Caenorhabditis elegans: one gene and its partners. The protein of the gene in region 3 interacts with the protein of the main gene of each other region in a pairwise test. Each region holds a gene or a part of one and is shown on either strand. Other genes may lie near its edges.

What was found. Proteins that work in one complex are often made in the same cells at the same time.
Region 1: the proteins of jmjd-3.2 (region 3) and hlh-27 interact in a two-hybrid assay, tested with the Caenorhabditis elegans proteins (one large-scale study listed by BioGRID).
Region 2: the proteins of jmjd-3.2 (region 3) and jun-1 interact in a two-hybrid assay, tested with the Caenorhabditis elegans proteins (one large-scale study listed by BioGRID).

What each region holds. Positions count from the first base shown.
Region 1 is NC_003280.10:5,537,457-5,542,762, reverse strand, and holds hlh-27 (BHLH domain-containing protein), read left to right. Parts: upstream 1-2,549; 5' UTR 2,550-2,553; coding exon 2,554-2,711; intron 2,712-2,767; coding exon 2,768-2,998; intron 2,999-3,045; coding exon 3,046-3,463; 3' UTR 3,464-3,688; downstream 3,689-5,306. Other genes in the region: C17C3.24 (uncharacterized protein), read left to right, coding at 1,188-1,250, 1,676-1,759; C17C3.11 (Protein kinase domain-containing protein), read right to left, coding at 4,353-4,600, 4,645-4,717, 4,764-4,928.
Region 2 is NC_003280.10:9,110,594-9,117,274, reverse strand, and holds the start of jun-1 (Transcription factor jun-1), read right to left. Parts: upstream 4,119-6,681; 5' UTR 3,985-4,118; coding exon 3,873-3,984; intron 659-3,872; exon of another isoform or gene 600-658; coding exon of another isoform or gene 548-599; intron 451-547; coding exon 379-450; intron 1-378. Other genes in the region: T24H10.4 (Transmembrane protein 53), read right to left, coding at 6,227-6,472, 6,660-6,681. UniProt on the Caenorhabditis elegans protein: Transcription factor that recognizes and binds to the AP-1 non-canonical enhancer heptamer motif 5'-TTAGTCA-3'. Required for ovulation. Controls plc-1 expression in the spermatheca to regulate spermathecal valve dilation.
Region 3 is NC_003284.9:14,444,757-14,454,381, reverse strand, and holds jmjd-3.2 (JmjC domain-containing protein), read right to left. Parts: upstream 6,173-9,625; 5' UTR 6,153-6,172; coding exon 6,041-6,152; intron 5,478-6,040; coding exon 5,238-5,477; intron 5,052-5,237; coding exon 4,561-5,051; intron 3,926-4,560; coding exon 3,220-3,925; intron 2,775-3,219; coding exon 2,587-2,774; intron 2,541-2,586; coding exon 1,948-2,540; intron 1,892-1,947; coding exon 1,700-1,891; intron 1,076-1,699; coding exon 994-1,075; 3' UTR 815-993; downstream 1-814. Other genes in the region: F23D12.7 (Neuropeptide-Like Protein), read left to right, coding at 550-679, 727-776; F23D12.4 (F-box domain-containing protein), read right to left, coding at 8,258-8,810, 9,265-9,380.

The DNA.
Region 1 (5,306 bases), on a different chromosome or scaffold from region 3:
CTGAGTGTACGAATTGATTATCAAAGTCATCCCTTCAAGAGGGATTCTCTTGTTCAATTAGTGAATGAAAAAAAAACGAAAAGTCCTGTAGCTAAAAGGAAAAACTGAGAGAAAAATGTGTGCATTGACGATTTTTATGAGTATTACAGATGTCGTCAATTTAATGTTGGAAAACGTAAATGCAAAACAGAAAGAGACAAATGAACTGTTTTTTTTTAAATGATTTTCAATTGTTTTTAAGAGAAATAGTAGCGATAATTGTTGGTCAGTAACAGTCAAAACATGACTCATTTTTTTGTCGAAATGGTTTATCAATTTTCGTGGAAGCCCCTTGTGGTCGGATCAATCAGACTAAAGCTGCGATTTTTATAGATCTTGTTATCTCTATTAACAATTGCGATTTTTAAGTTACTTCAGAGTAACCAAAACGAGTTCAGGTTATTTTAAAAATAATGGATGGCGTAAAACAAAATTTTTAGAACCACTTTTTGAACCTAACAAAGTATTGGAAGTATTACCAACAAAAAAAGTTTCAGAACTCATTTCCCTAAAACAAAGGACAAAAACATTCAGGCCAAAGGCAACCCTGTATACAGAAATAAGACAGAAATTATCATCGTTGCAACGGGGGGAGACAACAAAAAATCAGAATTGAGAAAGAGCCATGCACCATGAGTCAGGGATTTTTCGTTATTAATAGTTTTTGATAAAATTTGTCCCTTTTTGTTGAAGCTGAGGAGGCTTATTGATTTGAAAGTTTGTTCACATAACCTTTTAGTTGGCAATTGGTACACTTTGGAACACTGAAAACGGAAATATCAGTTTCAGTGATTTTGATTGAAATTGAATACTAATTTCCTCACCAATTACATTCAATCACTTGACTTGACTTCGCTATTAATTTATTGCTCATAGTTTCAGATCTTACCTTCACATCTGCTACAAAATGGACCGCAGAAAGCTTCAAAAAGAGGCAAGAAGTGAAATGAAAAAGGTGAGTATTTCAATCTCGTTCTGAAATTCAACTCATCTTTTATATTCAGACCGCCAATGGCGTCGACCGTGCCACATATAACCGAGCAAAGGCTCTTTTGGAGATAATCCGGAAGGTTAGAAATATACATTTATTCGTCATCACATTACATTTCTAGAATGCCTAGGACCGTTTCAAGACATCTGTGAGAATTATGGAAACCCGCCTTCAGGAAGAGATTGCCACAAATGATCTGGCTTCCTCCACGATCTCCAAGGTGAGTCATGATAATTTTGACTCGGCAAGTTTCCAAAAATTGTCTTCCGTCGTTGTACGATGAAATTTATGGCTTAATATATTAAAGAATAAAAAATAAAAAATTGTAATTTGGGAGACAGATGTGAGTATATTTAAGGTCATAGCTACTGCCATAGGATTACTGTAGCCAATATTCCAGTAGCTGAACTATTCCACGGGCAATCTCCGTTGTTATCATGATACTGTATGATAATTGTAATAAAACTAAAAATCGTTTCTGAGATCATGAGCGAAGATCAAATGAATTTATTGGCGGGTTATTATAAGGCTACTGTCGTGATACTGTAGTGATACTGTTGCCGAAATTCATATCATTGGAGCAAACAGGGAACACAATTTATATTATAAATCGTCCTATCAACTTTCAAACTTATGTCGTTTCAGTCACGCCATGCCATTTTTGCGTCCATAATCGAAGAGCTCAAATCAATTTCCTCTCACTTTTGCATTCCAGCTCTTCCAATATGATTGTTCTCCATATTTATTCTGTTGACCACTGTCAATTCAAAATAGATATCTTCTTATATAAAAATTATGTTCGAAGAAACTGTTGCAAATCAATCTTGTTTAGAATTACTGGCAAAATAATTTCAGTTGTTTTCTCCTATTTTATTTCTTTTCGAGATATTTCTGTTTAAAATGTTGTTCATCCGGTACAGTTGATACTACTATAAACTTATAGAATAAATTAACACAGTGCCAATATCCTAATTCACAGTCTCAGCCGGAATTTCCCAGGCAGTACCCAATCGATATCCAGTCGTCTAGTTTCGCATGGTCCCAAGACAAAACTGGAGATGTCCAGCCTCGTTCTCATGAGAACCTCACTGATGAACCATGGGAACCCATGATGGGGACTGTAAAAATAGAGATTTCAGAATAATTCCCATGGCTCCAAACGCTTGATACAAAGCTCCACCCTCTGAACAATAATGGAACTATAAAAGGTAACCATTTATTCATTGTTCATTTACTTTCTTGGTGGATCACTGGTCTGCTGGTTTAGTATACTTTTTGATAATTGTAACATCAGGAAAGTGTACTGATTTTGATCAATTACTTTTAAAGCATTCAGTGAACTGTATACTTCTAGAAAAACAGCACGAGTTATCTCACTAAACTAAATCAATTTGTGCTGCTTTCTTGGTCTCATTTTTCTGTTTTGTCACAATTATTCCTTTTATTTAACGGCTCATCTTGAAATTTTATAAATTCTAGATTTCTTCTTGATTTTAAAAAGATTAAAACTTATCAAATTTCAGATGCCAAAAGTTATCCCATCTTCAATGAGCGATTATCGTTCCGTCCCATACAATCAAACTCCAAAATCAGGATCTGAACGGAAAAGAAGAAATATTACAAACGAGTTGATTAACGAATGCAAGACGATTGTTCAAAAATCAGAAGAAGAACATATATCGTAAGTTTAAATACTCTGTTAGCTTAAAATAGTTATTAAACTAATTCATTTTTTAGACAAGAAGTAGTTCTCTTCCGAATTGTGAAACTTGTGACTGGAGTTAATCTGGAATCTAATTTCTCATCGAATGACCTCTCCGAATCTACAAGACGGAAGTTTGATACTGAATCCGAAAGAAGAAAAGTGAAGACTGAACGTGAAAAGATTCGAAGAAAGAAACAAGATGACTGTTATGCTGAATTGAAATTCTTCATTTTGAACAAACAAATGGGAAGTTACGAGCAACGGTAAGAGTTTCATTATGGCTAATAAAAATTCAAAAAATTATTTTCAGATTAAAACTTGAACGGATCACAATTCTAGAAATCATCATTGATTACATTAAACACAATTCCGATCTTCTGTATCCAGAAACAATTCCCCAAATACTTCCTCTTTTAGCTGGAAAATCAACTGCTACTTGTGAGAACAAAGAGAATGAAAAGCCAAAAACACGAATGGAAGTGAAGGATCTCTTCCCAAGATTGACGTTTCAAGAAGTTCAAGAATCCCCAACATCTACTTCTCCATTGCTCACATTTCCATGTATTCCAATGATCCCAACTACTCAGTTCAATGTCTTGTCAAACTACAACACCGTTCCATCAATATTTTCTGCTCCCCTCCGATTCATTCTTCCATCACTTCAAATCTTAACACCAGAAACTAGTGACGAGGAAGAAAATGAAGAAACCGTCGATATTAGTAACTAGTCTATCAAGTTCTTCCAGATCTTACAATTAGTTTCTGAGCAATTTTTCGAAAATCTTCATTGTCTATATTGCGTTTTTGATTCATTTTTTTATCTTTCTATGGCCAATATTCCCGAACTTTTTCATCCCATCGCGTCGCAATCTATTTTTGAAGATTTTTTACTACTCACGTGATAGTCTTGTCTAAATTATTCTGTTTGAAAATGAATGTTTATTCGGTAAAATTTGTTAGCCAGAATACAAGCAAGACAAGTATGTATAATCAAAGTTCCATTAGTCCACACCAAATTCCATCTCCCAGTCATACGGAAACTCTTCAATGTCCTTGTCTAGCATCACTTTTTGCAGTGTTGTATAGATCATCTCATAATCGGGCTCCTTGAAGAACGAAAGACTGTCGATATAGCTGGAAATGGAAAATTACGAATAAATCAGCTTTGGTAGAGACTCACTTCATAATCAAGCGAAATTCATCTGGGCAGCCAGCAAGGAATTGGCCCATGATCGGTTGGAAGCGGGAATTCTTCTTCATCGCACCAATCTCGCCAATCTCATTTACATTTTTCCAGGGAAGAGCTGCATTGGTGAAATCGACGAGCATGTAGAACCTAGAAAAACACATTTTCTCAAATAAAAACTATTATTCTTATTTTCAATTCTAAGTGATAACCCAATCTGGCCTTCTGGCATCTTTACAGAATATATCACATAAATGACTAGTTCTTAAATTGATTAAACTAGCCAGCTTTCCAAATCGTCCTTCAGTCCATGTTCCGCCGTATTATGTGATGCAAGCGGTGCATATCGAGGGCTTCCACGAAATGGCACAGTTTTTCTTGGCTCGAGCATCAAATTTTCGCGATCTACATACTTTCGGCAACATCCGAATCTAAGAACAAAAATGTTGCGAAGCTCGCCTTGGCTTGCTCTTCCGAGATAGAAGTTGCCAGGGTTCACATCTCTGTCCAAGAACCCACTCCAATGCAAATCTTCCAATGCTTCCAAGCATTGAAACGATGCCCCAATCGCAGAGCCCAAATGTCAAATGACCATCAGGCCCAGTCTTTATAGCATCTTGCAGGGATTTCCCAAGAAGCTTCATGACAATATAGTTAAAGTTGTCATGGCGTCCCTTGTCTGAAAGATGGGGTTACGGTTACCTACAAAAGTGTACTACATACCAATGAGAGTAGGCATGTGGCTGGGCGACTTCTCAGATACCTTTGTCATCACACAAAGCTCAATTCTCAGCGACTAAAAATAACATTTTCTGCTTAATGGTTCGACAGTATTAACTCACATATATCTCCTTGGTATTCAACTGAGCCTTCAAAACATGCTCCTCTCCAGCATCATCTCGCACAGCATACACTGCTCCGAATTCACCATCTTCAAGTTTCTTGAAAACCTTGTAACGACGAACTCTATAGTCAATACTTAGCTGAATAACGGGAGCCTCCGTCATCTCGTGACGAGAATAGATTTGAAAATAAATTATTTATGGATTTTCGGAAAATATTGATCTTGTCGTTGACGAACTTTTTTAAACACAACGTTATCACATCTTTGAAGTCCACGTTCAAAAAAAGTTTTTCTTGTTTTTTTCTGCAATAAAATTAACTTCATAAACTAGAAAAGGAGATTTTCAAAAATCCGGACTGTTGATTCAAAATTATTTCAAATTGTTTTTATTCTGATATATATATATATATATATAATATAAATTAACACAATTCTAATATCCCCTTTACATTCTCAACCAAAATTTCCTATAAAAAGGGGAAACTCACGCCCATAACATGGCCAAATAATTGTTTGTCCATCTACGGGTCTCGCAGCGAAA
Region 2 (6,681 bases), on a different chromosome or scaffold from region 3:
CTTTTTTTCAAAATTTGTGGTACTAGGTGTAGGATTAATGATATTCTGGCGTGCAGAAAATTTAAAATTGAAATCAATTAATTTTTTCAGGTGAAAACTTTAAAAAAATCTTGACTATGTATATCTAAGTTAGTTTTTTTTTCATTTTCCATCCAGTCATAACAGTGGTACAATTGTTTTAAAGTAGTATGCCACCTTCTGATTGTGATGAGAAAGACATTCATTTATCAGTCACACAACAGTTTTGTTGACGTTTTTACTTTGTGATTTCCATTTTTTGAATATTTGATCAGCAAACGATTATTCTTGAGTTCTCAATTTGTGACTTTCTTTTTTTATTTTAAAATTTCCATTCATTTCAATATTCAAAATTCTCACCATAAAATCCTTTACAGTACTGTGCTGTGCTTTCCTTCTCGCCATCATCTACTTCCATATCCTGTCGCCGATCTGAAAGTTAACTTTTAATACTTCAGAGATTGGAATTAGTCTTTTGGTATTCGTGTCATTTGAAAATGAAACTGTCACTCTTAAAATGAACCCTTACATGGTGAAGAGTTGGTATGTTGTGTCACATTCATATCAAACGAGTTATTCATCATCGATTCACAAAATAAATAGAGAAGAATGAGAATCGGAAAACGAAGAAGAAGAAAACGAAACGAAACGATGAGAGAATGAGATGGAGGTGGAGAACCATTTTTGGTGATAAGCGAGTATGACTCACTACTCAACAACCCGACATTTCAGGATGAACTGAAAGCACACTGAATTGCTTACAATTTCAAGACAAACGGGAAGAATTATATTGCTAATTCGTTATTTACCATATCACTGTAACTGTTAAATGTCGTGAACAGTCTCTGATGCTGTGCTTCTAGTAGGCATTCCACTCGGTCGAGGCGTGACCGAGGCGCCTTTCGTCCCTCGAACCCCTTACAGTCAACTTTGTGTTCCATTTACCTTAACTGTGGTTCTGGTGGTTATTTTAAAATTTCTAGTTATGTGAAAAAACTTGAAATCGATTCTATTTTTGGTAGGATAGAGAATTATAAATTTCCATTTCTTGGTGATTCTTGAAACAACTGATTGATTATTTTCTGATCAATTCCATATTAAAATACGGTTATGTTCTTTAGGTATATTTACAAAAACTATGATTTCTTTGATAATTATTTAAAATTCAGCCACTGCAAAATCATAGATCAAATCAAAAGACCCGGAAAATAATTGTTTTCCAAAATATCAGCACATTTAGGAAGTACAATTCCAACAAGAATATATCCTAAATTGGCGGGAATCGAGAAAAGCATAACAAAAAAATAGATTCAATATATATGAAGAAAAATGTTTCAGATAACTTCATAACACAAACATCAATTGATCATGAAACGCGTGTTAGATTTGATTAACAAAACATGTTAACGATGTTCTTGGAACTACGCTGATTAGCAGAAAAAGTTGGTGGGAAATGTTGTTTAAAGTTTTTGAATACGCGACACGAAAAAGGAAAGTGAAAAACTTTCATAATGCTCCATCCAAGCACGTTCTTTAATTTGTGTTTATGATGGTGGGAAAATAGAAAAAGTGAAAAAAAGAGAAGAAGAAAAAGATTCTCAGATGTTCTCTAACAGAAAATGTAGATGAAACTAGAGAACCAGAAAAGCTCAGAGATAAACATCAAAAAGAAAATATTAGAGCAGATCAGTCTTCCACGAGCAGAACGTCATGAATATGTTCTTTAAAGATTAGTGTCAGGTTTGATGGGAATTGGCTGAAACTAGGGCTTCATGCGCCTCATCGGAACTTGGCTTGCCTTCACGGCAACCCTTGCCTGCCTTGTGCCTAGAAATATTAATAACTCATGAGTTAACACAATTCGAGCGCCAAACATCGTTGAATCAAAAATATGAAGCCAGGAGGGGCGGGTAGGTTTGAGGCAGGCAGTGGATCCTGAGGATGCACCTCTCTAGATAGATCTACTATGGGTAACCTAGCTAAAACTGAGTTCAAAATGACTAACTACCTACAGGTTCCATTCTAAAATTGAAACAACTTCTGCAGAAAATGAGAACAAATACTAACAGAGATTCGCCTGAATATTTCATCAAACATATGACTGTTTCGCAAGAGTTGCCATAGCCTCTTTCATCTCATTACCCATGCATGTTATGGAACAGAAATCAGAGCCTAAAAACTGAAAGATGGGAAGGAAAAAAGGGGCAAAGTGTGTGTCAAAACATTTACGAAAGCCCGATGACTCATTCCAAGAAATGAATGGGAACGGATAGAACGAATGAACAAAATATGTCTGGATAAAATGGAAATTAAGAAACCAAAGTTCGAGAATAAACGCATCGAAAATTAGTTCAGCTCACGTAGCTAAAAAAAATTTCAAGACAAACTTTTAAACATCTTCTTTGCAAAAATCTTGATAACGAGAAATTCGACGTAAAATAGAGAAGCGAAGGGCCGGGATAAGCCATTTGTAAGATCATTTTAGATTTTTTATAGCATTCGATCGTTCAAAATCAATTTTAAAATAGCATTGTTTGAACTTTTGCTTGAATTTTCTGTACTTATAGTGTGTTTTGTATTTTCGTATTGTACTTTTGTCAATATGACTTCGAAGAACGTTTTCAAAATACCTAACTATAAATTTCGACAAAACCTTAAAAAACCCAAATAGTGTACTAAAATGATCTGATGAGCTAATAATGAAACTTCCGAAAGGAACAGCTGTTAGTCTTATCATTTGGCACAATCAGGTCGAACCAATGAAATATTGCTCTCAAACCAAGAGAGGGCGGAGAGACATATTGTGGTGATTTATTAGGTAGTTCTTGTGAAAAAATGTCGGGTTTGAAATATGTTAAATTTCTAGATGAAGGTTTTAGAGAAATGAGGTTTGTCGGATTTGTATACCATAATATATTTAAGCTTTTTTTGAAGGATTTGAATAATACAAATCTTCAAAGTAAAGCTAGGGGACAAGCTAGAGTAGGAGGTAGAGATTTTCCAAAAAAACATAGTTTTACCGTTAATTGCAATTTTAAATATTAATCAAGAATTTAGGTTTAATGAAAGTTCAAAAAATTTACCAAGTTTACAGAATATGGTCTAGGAATATATATATATATATAGTTTCAAGTTCCTAGATCCTAACCCTAATGCCTCTACACTTCCGCTAAACTAGGCATATGCGTTTATCAACAAAAAACAGTTCGAAGAAAAGAGACCATATAAGACGAAGAGACGCAGACAGTTGCCAGATGGAACGGGCGGGAAAAGCTGTGCGCCGCTTCGATCACTACAGTAGCTGCGTCGTTGGAATCGAAAATCACGTGTCAACTCGATTTTTTTTTCTCGATCACTGCGTCTCTCTCCGAATTAGAGTCTCGCTCGTAGTTTTTGTGATGATTAAAATGTAATGATGAACATTCATAAAAGTGGGCGGAGCCAGGATTATACCGTTTACTCTATTTTTAAGTGTTTTATGTCCAGTTGAAAGGAAATTGTTGCATAGAAAAACTTTCAATTTGGTAAGAAACAATATGATTTAATTTTACAAATCATTTAAGAAAAATACAAAACAATTTTAACAACCACCTGTTTTTTTTGGCACGCGTCATAAACTTTTTATGGGTTCAAAGAATTCATATTAAACATAGATCTACAAATTGATATAATGTTTTGACAAACAACTTCATCAATTAACGATAAAATCACGAGATCACAAATGTTTGGTAGTTGTAATTTGGCATTTTGATAGTAGTGAAACTATAGTTTTGTAACCATGATTGTCCATTTCCTATTGTGACAGGTTTATCATCAAGTATTCCAAAACTTTTGAACTAGACAAACAAACTAACCCTTTTTGGAATTTTTCCTTCTTCGAGTTGGAGCTTTTGGAGCTTTTAGAACAACTTCTGGAGATTCTGATGATGTTGATGAGGATGGTGGTTCCTCTTGATCCTCTTCCATTTTTGTTTTATTTTGATTTCAAAACCTTTTGACAAATAAGAATTGAATAGAGAGGAAGAGAAGTTGATGACGAATCGGTTGACGACGATGGCGATGGGGGTTAGTCGGCGGGGGCCCCGAGAATGAGTCACACGCACACTCACTCTTGTCTCTTTTCCTCTGCTGACTCGTTCTTTTCCTTTTTCTCTCTTTTTCTATCTCTATCTCTTTCTCTCTATTTTCCAGATCCATGACATCCATAGACGCAGATAGACAAACGAACATTGAAAGAAAACATTGAAAATTGAGAGAATCCAGAAGTTTCTCATTCTCTCTATTTTTCATTCTCTCTTTCCACCACCCAATTGACATTTAGAAAGGTAAATGGAGAGAGAAAGAGAGGAAATGGATAAAGTTCGCAGAAAAATGTTACCGTAAATAATGTGTCAGTGTGCTTGCTTCACGTTCTCCGTCTCTTTTCCCTCATTTCTCTCCGCTCCTTTGACTTCTGTATTTGCCTTTCCATCAGCCACTTATCTTTTTGGAAGTTCATTGGCTTTTTCAGAGCTCATCTTGTTTTTCATTCTTTTTAGGCCTGACCTCATTAGTCTTTTACCCATAGATCTTGTTTATGCACCCAATAATAACTAAAATATAATACGTTTTTTGCAGGGGTTTGAAGCTTTCTGATCCGGTTTTTCAAATTAATAAAAACCGAGAGTAATAAAAACTCATGTTTCAGTAAATCCAATTTTGGAAGTCGACCAGAAAACATTTTTTGGAAAATTTGGCAATTTACTAAAACTGTTAATGAACATTTTACTCTGGAGTGTTCGATTATGACATTCGAGAATTTTGTCTGCACATACTTCAACTAGACCAGAAATACTCTAGATCATTTTTACAAAATCTAAACATATTTTGATTTTCTTTTTGAAATTGTTTGAGGTTTTGTTTTTGGCACAATGCAAAAAAAAGGTTTTTTTTCAAAGTAATTTATACTATTTTTGCATGTTCGGTCCTAGATCTTTCATATTTGTAATACGTGATAACATATTATTAGTAATAGCCAGATTTTGACTACAGTTACAAACATTTTTTAATTTTTTGAACTGTTTTACCATGTTATTCAGCATACCAAACAACTCGTCTAGATATCAAAACAAGTTTTATTCAAGGTAACATACCGTGTACCATACCATTTGGAAAGTACGGTAGATATCAGTTCATTGCATTTGGGAATTTGTATCGCATTTGCAAAGTTAATTTTGATTGGTAGATTTTTTTCGGCACTTGCACTTAATTTTTTCATAGAAACACCGTAATTTGCATAAGAATAGTCATTCGGCCTAACACGATCGATGCTAATTATCTTTTATTATTACTAACTTCATGTTTTATTTGGCTTATTTGTGCTGATATCTAGAGGCTTTTGAATTGTACATTCGTGAACCAGGAATTGGCCAAGTTTTGCCAATTTCGGAACCAAGTTGGGTACGAAGTTTCGAACATAAATCTGAAAGTGTTTCATTGGTCTCCAATAGTCATGATTTGTGATTCACTTTCCAATTTACAATATCAACAGTAGTATCTACTCATAATTGATAACTTCGTATTTTCTCTAATCATACTTATGTCTCTCACGATTCCATACAATTTCGCGTTCGTTATGGTTGTCTGCTCATCTTTTTGTACACGGTCATCAAAATGAAATCGGAACGAAAAAGCAGTCACAAATTCGGAAATCATTGCAAAAAAATGGTGGGAGTAAGAATTGAGAGATTAGTGGAAATGGCATCACATCAGAATCAATTTGAATTCTCTCTTTTTTTGTGTTTCCTCTGCCCACCCATTCACATTTCAGGTGATTTCGAGAACAAATTACGTCGAAAGGGAAACGCCTGGCTGAAAATAAAAAATTCAGAAAAAAAGGAAGAAAATAGAAAGTGCACGCACCGGCATACGTAATAAGGAGCCCCTCATCTAAATAATATTTACGCTTCCAAGATTCTGTTTTTAGTTTAGTTTTTTTTAGAAGGAAGGAAACTTTTTTTCGTGTAATAGCAGGGACTTTCAAAAAGTAATAATTTATATCTAATGTCAATAGTATCAAGCAAAAGCTTTTAAAGCGAATAAAACTGGGACATAGAGATGGAACGTTGGGAAAGGAGATGGGAAGAACCGGTCAATTAATATATAAGTAATTATGCGAATTACCATCTATAAATATTAAGAGAAACAATAAAAATCTATAGATATGAATCTAGTAGGCAAGCTCTTCAGGTACATCATTTTGTGCAGCTTCTTCAGTTATTTCTAACGGCACACGACTTCTATTCGCTGGTAGATGGCCTGATTTCACAAAGTCTAGGCATTCTTGAGTGTACGTCACGGGATGAGATCGGAGATGTTGGCAGTGCAAAGAATCGAGAAGACGAAGTTTTGAGATTGAAACACCACGTTGCTCCATTAACTGGGCGTATTCTTCGATGGATTCTTCGGAGCAAACCTGGAAAAATTTGTTAAGCTAAAAATGTGTTAAATCTAGATTCTAGAATCTAGAATAAAACAATTAAAACACTGTAAAAACTAGCAAAAAATTTAGGAAGTGTAAACAAAAAGAAGCTTTTTAGCTTTTTTCAATTTTGGATTTCAGAATACCTATTTTTTTCTTTTATTTTGAAAATTCAACTCACTAAGTCTGCAGGTCCATAAATA
Region 3 (9,625 bases):
TCTCAAATGGGTGCAAGACTGACAGAGAATATGATTTATTTTTAATTTTTTTCAATTTTTAGAAGTAGTCAATAGAAGAGCAATATGAGAAAATTTTGGGATTGATCAGCAACTGAAGTATATGGAGCAGCACAGAAGCACAGTTGCATCACTGCTCTGGCCGTTGCCCTGAACCACAAAAACGGCGAGAAGGGAAAATACACTCAAAACCTCTGTAGTTTGACGGTTATTATTGGAGAGATATATGTACCTGTTTTTCTTTTCCTAATTGTATACTTATTTTTAACATGATTTTAACTCAGGTTTTGATTTTAAGTCAGGTTTCTAAACAGAATATATTTTCAATCGTTTCTCTAGAAATCAAATTGTATGATTCACCAACTCTTTTATTTACATGTCACCGGGAAAATTGACAACTGCCGCCGCAGTTGCTTCAACCTCAACATTTTGTGTGATAACATTGAAAACATCTTTTCGTCATTGTCTGATTTTTCTTCACCGAACTCCTCGTGTTTCTTTTTTTCCTAACCCAATCTCATCTTTCAGAAAATGTTTCGTTTCCTACTGTCTTTCTTGACTCTCTTCATGGTTTTGCTCGTTGGGATCTCTCTGTCCGCACCAATTCCAAATATTGATAACGCTGAAGATTTTCGCTACCCACAAGACCCAGAGGATTTCAGTAATTTCAAAATAATTGCATACAAAATCAAAAACTCCTATTTTCAGATAATATGCCAATGGCCACAGCACGTCCATCTGTCAACCCATGCAACTAAACATTTTCGATTTCTTTTTTGTATGTAAGAATAAATTTTTTTTATAATTAGTAAGTTGGACTTTATTAAACAGAATTGATCATATCGAAAAATGTTGCATAATAAAAAATCAAAACAAGATCAATAAAACGATAAGTGATTCAAAATGTGCAAGAATTGTATAATACAAAAGAAAGCTGTGAAAATTGAGGATCGAAAGTTGAAAAAAAGAAAAGTTTCAGGACACCCATTTAAACTCGTCAAATATCTTCACCAAGTCAGCAATGTCCCGCCTTTGAAATGCTGTTGCTTTGACTTTTCTGGAAAATTAAATATTAGATTATTACGTGGTGTCAGGCTGTTTCATTGCGGTTTTATCTACAAAAATGCGGGAATTTCTCTTCCAGAAAAATGTAACGTCAGCACACGTATAGCCATGCGAAATCAGCTGAAAAATCTCCGTCTCTTCTCTCGCATTTCCCGAAGAAACCAAAATGCGACACTTTGACACCAATTAAACTATTTTTATCTTGCTATTCGTGTGTTTTTTACTTTTTTAACCAAAATAAAAGTGGTCTACATGTTTGAACATATATACTTAAAATGCACTCAAATAAACAAATTTCGTACGAAAAATTCTCTAATTTGGGAGATTTTTCCGTGACGCAACGGTCACAAATTTGACTTTTTTGAGCTTTTGTTTTTTAATTGCATGTTTTGGTAGATAATCTCAAGATAGTTAACCAAAAATCACCAAAAAATGGCCTTCCATCGGGTTTGAATATACGTTATTCAACGAAAAAACGTTGGATAAACGACCGATAAATGCAATAAAAAAATGATAATTCGAAAAAAAAAATACAAAAAAATTTTCTATGATGAGTAAACAATACATCCCTTCTTCCGCATTTATCAGTTATCACTCTTCACAAAATGCAACTCACCCTTTAACTATGCAATTAAGGCAGAATGGATTTTGCTTATTGTCAAGTGTGATCATATTGAACAGAACTTCCCGGCATTTTTGGATAGAGCATCGCTCAACAGGGATGATCGATTTCTCGTTTTTTGCTGATCTGATGAGCATATTTTCCTGAATGGCGAAATCGAACTCAAACTGGCTTTTTGCCAAACTTCTGTAATTTTGAATTAATTAGTTATCTAGTATTATGATTCTGTGACGAAACCGTACTTTAGCATTATAGCCTTTCGAGCCAGGAAAATATTCTCATCCTCTGCCTCCACTCCATCTTCAGCCATTTTCCAGACAATTGGCTCAATAGGCATGAGAGTAGTTGCTTTACTCGAGATGTTGTGATCGTGAATGACCATTGCAGCAGCCAGTTGATTAAAAGTTGGTTGTGCAACATTCCAGGAGACGTTTATTGCAAAATCATTAGATTGCACCCAATGAAATGTTCCAATACCGACGTACACCATGTCTCCAGGCTTTTGTAGAAACTTTTGCGATGGTATCTTTTCATTTCTTAATTCCTGCTCACTTGGCCAGTACCCGCTTTTATAAACATTAAGTCGATGCTTTTTGATCAGCACCTCCATTCTGCCACTGTACTCCATGGGCACTCCGTACCAAACACAATCACCTGGTCCATGATTAATGTTAATGGACCCGAGAGCTTGGTTCTCCAGGTGAGCTGTGGTTCTTGCTCCGGGAGGCTTGCAATAAACTTGAGGTTTGTTCAGACCTGCAAGTGACTCTTGAGCAAAGTTGAGAAGATTCCCGGCTCCGTCGGGTCTCAAACAATCAGGCAATTTTTTGATCTCCTGAAAATAATGATTATTTATCTACCGTTAACTTTAAACGACATACATCGAGCTGTTCCTTGAATCGCTGATCATCCAGATCAATATTAGTTCCAAATGCCAACACTGTCGCATTTTCATGGACTGTAAGTTTGTGTTCAGGACTGAGTGGGATCGTATTTTCCTTGATTTGCTTCTTCATGTCATCCATTACTTCCGAAAATGCGGAAGGATTGCGTAGGATAGCTTGGTAAGCTGAAAAATGAAAGGTGAACAAATTTAATGATTTTTATAAACTTTGGAAGTTCTCTAGTTTTTATTAAAACTTATCAAAAAAGTTCCCAAGTGGGTTGATTAAGAGTCAAAAATTGGCGAGAACTCAGTTCTGATTACCCATAATTTAAAGGTCGACAATGAAGTAAGTGCTTTTTTTTATACGAATTTCAAAATCTAAATATTTTTCAAATATTTTCATTGGGATGCCATTGAGGTTCAAATGGTTGCGACGTTGCTTTATTTTGCTCAAAACTCCTGGAAATCTTTTGAAAAGTTTTCGCTAATTTGGTTTTCAAAGCTGACTGGAATTTTAGACCAATCTTTAAAAATTTTGAAATTGGGTTTTATAAGATACTTATTTTCTTATAAAACTCAAATATCTTTCGCTAAATAAGAATTAAAAAAAAACAGTTCAAAAACGTACCTGACCTTCCTATATCCTTAAGGCTTTCATAATTCTTCGCAAAATCTCTCAACTGAGTAACTCCTTCAAAATCGAAGACAGCCCAGGCATTTCCCAATCTCTGCACGGTATTTTTGTCATTCATGTAGAAATTGGTTGCTGATGACTGGGGCATCTGTCGACGAATTTTCAATGGGTAATCGGGGTAGAGAGGTGCCAATGTGGAGATGTCAAACGTTTGGCGATCCATCCCAAATGCTTCTTCGATTCCTCGAAAGATGCACATGGTTGTGGTATTGACGATATTTTTAATAAAATTTGATGTTTCATCGCTGTTGTTCTCAATATTATAGATAGGAACAGGTAACCTGTATTGATCTTTATTTGTGTATTCTTCACTTGTGTTTTCTTCAATCTTTCCATCAGTGTTGAATTTTGTTGTTTCATCAAATAGTTCAGAACAGCCAGATGTTTCGTATACGAGATTTTTGCCAGATTTGATCCATTTGCTTGCTTTCGTAATAACTTGTTTTCCTTTTGATTTTGAGACGTCCATAAAAGTCGCTCCGGTTAGAAACAGTTTCGGGAGTTTATATAATGAAGGCAGATCACTGGGAAGGTTGGATATTGGTGGAATGGCTAGCGATCGGAGTTTGTTTGTCACCAAGCCCAGATTCTCGTTGTCTCTGACAACATGAACCGAAACATCCGTCGAGCACGAGGGCTCCTGCAAATATTTTAAAGTTTTGTTAAAAGCATATACATAATTTGTAATTTGCTTTGACAACGTCCTACAACGTCCTGTCTTAGACAAAAAATTTTGACCTGAAAGTTTGAGTTTTTCGCTGAAAACAATTATCAATTATGCGAGCTCAAAATGTCTGCTATAAAATAGTACGTTCAACTTTTTTCCGATCGCACCGATCGCATTTTATACATAGTTTTAAAAAACTCCCTATTAAGTTCTGTGTTAAAATTTGAACTTTTCAAATTGGTCTTTGTTTTATGTTTACAATGCATATGTAAAAATTTATGATATCAACGAGCATACTTGGTAGTGTGTATAATAGTTTAATTCATTTATTTATTTTTCTAACATTTAGAAAATTATTAAAAAGTTATTAAATTGTTCCTATCTTTAATGCGATTCCAAAAGAATTAGGAAATTTCTGGAAAAAAAATAATTTTTTGATTATAACTTAAGTTTGACATAGCGTTTGACATTTAAACGTTATATTTTAAAATTGAGCCACATTTCGTTTATATTGAAATTTCATGTTCATTATCAGTAGGGTCAGTAGGTTTACAACACTATTAAAGTGCTATTTCTTTTTTTTTTTAATATTAATTGAAACAACATACCGAAAAGTGTTCCAACTGTGCATCGATGGTTTTTTTCGCTTCTTCCGACTCTAGAATCGTACCAGCTGCGTCTCGTCGAGCAAACTGAAGAAATGCGTTCGCGTTCCAGTCACTACTAACTTGATGTATTTGAAATTGATTCAACTTATTAGATGGTCTTCCTCTCGCCGATTTTCTTTTCTTACTCTTTGTTTCAATTAGTGTTTCTGGCTTTCTTTTCCTTGAAGGTCCAACTAAAAATTCTCCCTGTTCATGAGACTCTGATTTTCTCAATTTTGAGTTGTTCCCACTAATTGGTGGATAACTGTTGCCATGCTGATCCACTTGATCTCTTCCGTCAATTTCAATTCTTTCACGAAAGTCAGCATCATTGCTCTGTGTTGGCAAAATCTGTTCATTAGTTGAACCAGAATCATTTGTGCTGACAATCAAAGAATCTGTTCCGCTTTCTTCTTGAATTTTTGCAGTTTGTTCAATTGTTGTGCAGTCGTCTGAAAATGAAAACGATTAATTCAAAAAACATTTTGTTTAGAAAAAAATTAGCCCAATATTTAAAATCTCTGCAAACACGCAACACAGTTTTATAATTTTCAGTTCCCATCCGAAAAAGTTACTAAAAAAGTTGCATGAAGAAAATGTTTGAATGAGCACATTTTTCAAAGAAATCTTAAGCTTACTGGTAATAAAATTTGCTGCTGGAACTTGATTGTCTGGATCGATGAATTGCTCTGTCTCATCCGAGCAGTCTTCAGCAATTTCATAATTTCCTGATGATATTGTTGTTCCTGAAGGTTCAGTTGACGACTCTCCCAGTTTATGAGACTCGGATTCTAACAGTTTTGAATTGTTTCCGTTAAATGGTTGATCATTATCGAAGCACTGATCCACTCGATTTCTTTCATCAATCTCGGTTTTATCTTGAAGCTCGCCATGATTACTTTGTGTTGAATAAACTTGTTCATTAATTGGTTCAGAATCATTTGTGCTGACAATTGGAGAATCTACTAGCTTTTGAGGAAATTTAAAGAAATGCCGCATGTTGCGACCCCTACAATATTTTAATAAAAATAATTTAAACAAAATTAGAACATAAAAAATGTCGAAAAAATTGTTTTTTTGGTCGACTTCGAAAATTATGAGTGGCAAAAACTGAGTAATTGCCACTTTTTGACAGTAAATAATAAATTTTCAAAAATTTTTGAAAAGTTTTATCATGATATTTGGTCATTTTGTGACCAAACGAGTGGTTTTTAACAATTTCTCCACTGGCAGTACTCCACCTTTAAATGTATATAAAGAATAATATAATGCTTCGCTTGAAAAAAAAACTAGTCATATGAAAATCAATTTCAAATATAGATTTTTTACATTGAAAAAAAGGATTTTTTTAATTTCTCGATATGAAAATTCCGTCTCCTGTCAGTTTACAAACCTTTTTTATTGTATGATCGTGTTATTAACACAAAATTAAAATGTTCACCTGTGAAAAAATCTGGCTTCAATGTTGTCGGAACTGGATATTGTGCATCAACGAGTTGTTCTGTTTTTTCGAATTGGTCTTGTGAACCTGAACCTTGGCCACCGCTATCCATCTTTTGAAAAAATCCTGAAAAAATTATTGCTCGTGATCAAAATATTCAAAATTAATATTGCTAGTGGAAAAAAGTGTGAACTCAAATTTTAAAGAGGATTTTTCTTCTATTAATCCTCGAAATTAACAAAAAACACACACACACTAAAAACTGTACATCTATCAATAATTGCAAAAATTGCATGCATTTCCTAATAAAAATCTAAAATAATCCCAAAACTGCAATACAATAAAATTTAAAGACTTGGATATAAATCTCACTTTTTGTAATTTTAACAATGCATACCCTATTATTCTAAAACAACTAAAGTTAAGTTCTGAATATTTCATTTCATGTTAAAATTAATTGAATGAATTAGTTTTGTCTAAAATTGATGAAAAACTATATGTTAATTTTGAAAAACAAACTAAAAAACATCGAGAAGTGGTGCAAAACGTATGTTGGAGCCAATCCTCGCAAAAAGGTCGAGAACAGGCAGAGAAGACTGCGCAGAACAAGTTACATCATCACTCAATCTGCCCCGTTTCCCATATTTTTGTAGGAGACTGTCGGGTCACATATGACGCAAGATGTGCCTTCCCACGTTATGGAGTGCTCAAAGAGAACAGGTGTCGTGGGGGGGGGGGGGGGGGGGTGTCTGCTCGATTGTAACAAAATAGCCGGGAGGTCTAATTTTTGATAAAACATAACAGAAGGTGGCCACCAAATTATTTATAGGAATGTGCTTGTATGCTTAATTTTTTCAAACTAGCATGTTTCATTGAACATATCACTGGCAAAGTTTGCGTCGAAAAAATTTTCCAATTTCAAACGGTTACTTATATATTATTACTTATATTTTATATACCAGAATTCAAAATACAACACAAACCAACTACATATATTCGGTCACCGGAAATCGTATACTTATTAACTAAAATGAATTTGAAAGTTCTGCTGCGCTTTGTTGATTAATCTGCTTTTCCTTGAGAGATTATCTTTTCATCTTTTTCTCGTCACTAGGAGAGTGCAGACAAACTATGAGTAGCTAGGAAACTTGTCCCAACTTAACACGTAACAAGAGTACCGAACAGCAACGGATTAGAGGAGCACGTTTTGAAGGTCTTACATACAGTGCCGGCCATAATTCTATCCAATTTTCGATTTTTGATAAATTTACAAGTTTTTCAAACGAGCACAACTTAAAAACTGGACATGCTATCGAAAAAAATTCAACTCAAGAAATTTTGTCCATAATTACGTCTACTTGTATTCAGTTGTTTAAGTTGTTTACCAGTGTCATGACAAGAAATACAGCGGCCGACATCTCGTGAGCCCGTTTTTGACAACTTTTACTGATTTGCCGGTATCTCGAAAACTTTTTTTTCTGTAAGTGTTGGCAAAGTAAAATAATCTTCATATTACTTGCCATCATGTGTGTCTTCTCACGTTGTTCTGAAAAATTCAGCAAAAAAGTTATGATAGATTAAACTTGAATAGTGTACGACTACAACTAGAGCATTTCTCGCAAGTGAAGAATTTTTTTTCCCTGAATTTTGATATCGTGTTTAAATAAAGTTTAATTGTGATTTTACATTTGTAATTATTAAAAAATGCTCGAAAAAAATATATTCGAAGTAAGTAACCTGATTTTTGGTTGTACAGCATGAGCAGTGCCAAGTGAGGGACTAGTTTGCACTTCCATAACTTTTTTGCTGAATTTTTCAAAACAAAGTGAGTAGGCACAAATGATGGCAAGTAGTATGAAGATTATTTTTCTTCAAAAACATTTCCAGAAAAAAATTAGTTTTCGAGATACGGCCGAATCAGTAAAAGTTGTCAAAAACGGGCTCACGAGATGTCGGCCGCTGTATTTCTTGTCATGACACTGGTAAGCAACTTAAACAGTTAAATACAAGTAGACGTAATTATGGACAATATTTTATTAGTTGAACTTTTTTTGATAATTTATAGGATATCTAAAAATGGGAAAAGCGAAAGTGAGGAATACGAAAAAAAAACAGATGGAAGAGGAAAGAAATACATGGATTTATTACTGAGGCTTAACATTTGACCTTATAATTAGAAACAAAAAATTATCAAAAGTTATTCAAGTTCAGAAAATTTTAATCATCATTCAAGCCCAACAGTCTTTCGCCATTTGGGAATCCCCAGATTTGAAGAGACGAAACTCGGCTAACTTCATCAATGATGCACTTGAACACTTCGTCGCTGTTGTTCTTTCCAGCAACTGCCAGAGTATCCATTTTGATTTTCAAATGATTCACAAGGTTGATGATATCAAGAATCACAGCGTCGGGCTGCTTATCAAAGGTGAGTTCCATCGAGATCATCTTGAACGTCTTTGAAAAGTATTTAATCAAATACTTCACTGTTTCGACTCGAGTTCCATAGGTGTTTTTGGCGCAGCATGATGGGAAAATGGGGTCAATTTTCAATAAATTCATTGGCAGTCTCGTTGAGCTCCTAGTTCTATACACCCTCTTTGGAGGCATATCATCCAGTTTTATGTTCACAATCTCGTTGGTTGCTTCTCCGTCATATCCGATTTTGATGATGAACGTTTCTCCGAGATTGACAGTCAATTGAACAAGATGTCGACGCGAGTGCTCCAATACCCATCTCTTTGCTTTTTGAGATAGTAACGCCAGTTTCACGCTAAAAATGAACCGTATTTGAATTGAATTTAAGCTTGCGAAGGCAGGACATATTGAGAGAGCGACCTGGGTAGCTTGCTCCCAAGTCGCTTTCAGATTTATGGTGAAGTGCGATATGCGATTTAATTTAAAAACTTGGTTGTATTCTCTATATTGAGAGTTTTCAATCAAATTAATGTACTAGTTGTTCAGAGTTCAAGATAAACTTCTAGGAAATCAAACAAACAACTACTTAAAATGTTATATTATTATTGTAAAAATACGATCGCACAAACTTCTCATAATGTATATTTGATCTACCTGCTGAACTTGACCCCGCCCCCAATCTTGTTGCCGTTGTTATTTTGTTGTGGCTGTCTTGTCAAAGGAAGGGAATGAGCCTAGTCAACAAGGTAGATCAAAAATAAATTATGAGAACATTGTGCGATCGTATTTGTTCGATAATAAACACTTACAGCTCGAACATTGGCAATTGTTTCACAATATCACCGAGTGGCAATGAAGGCAACTCTTCAAGCAGAAACGGTTTCTCGGTTTTCTTCGATGCAACTTTTGTCAAACCCTTCTTCATTCTGAAAATAAATAGGTAAATTATGACATTAGAAGACAGTTAGTGAGAAATTAAAGAAAATGGTAGTTAATACAAGGCAACATTACATACAGAGTTCAAAAAATAACATTTAGTTGAGTATGTTATAAAGGAAAATAGAGAAACGTTAAAATTGGTGAAAGGCAGTGAAAGTTGGTGAGATTTGAAAATGAAGACTTAAAAAATTTTTAAAAATTGGTTTTTGGTTTGAATTTACTTCTTTTAAT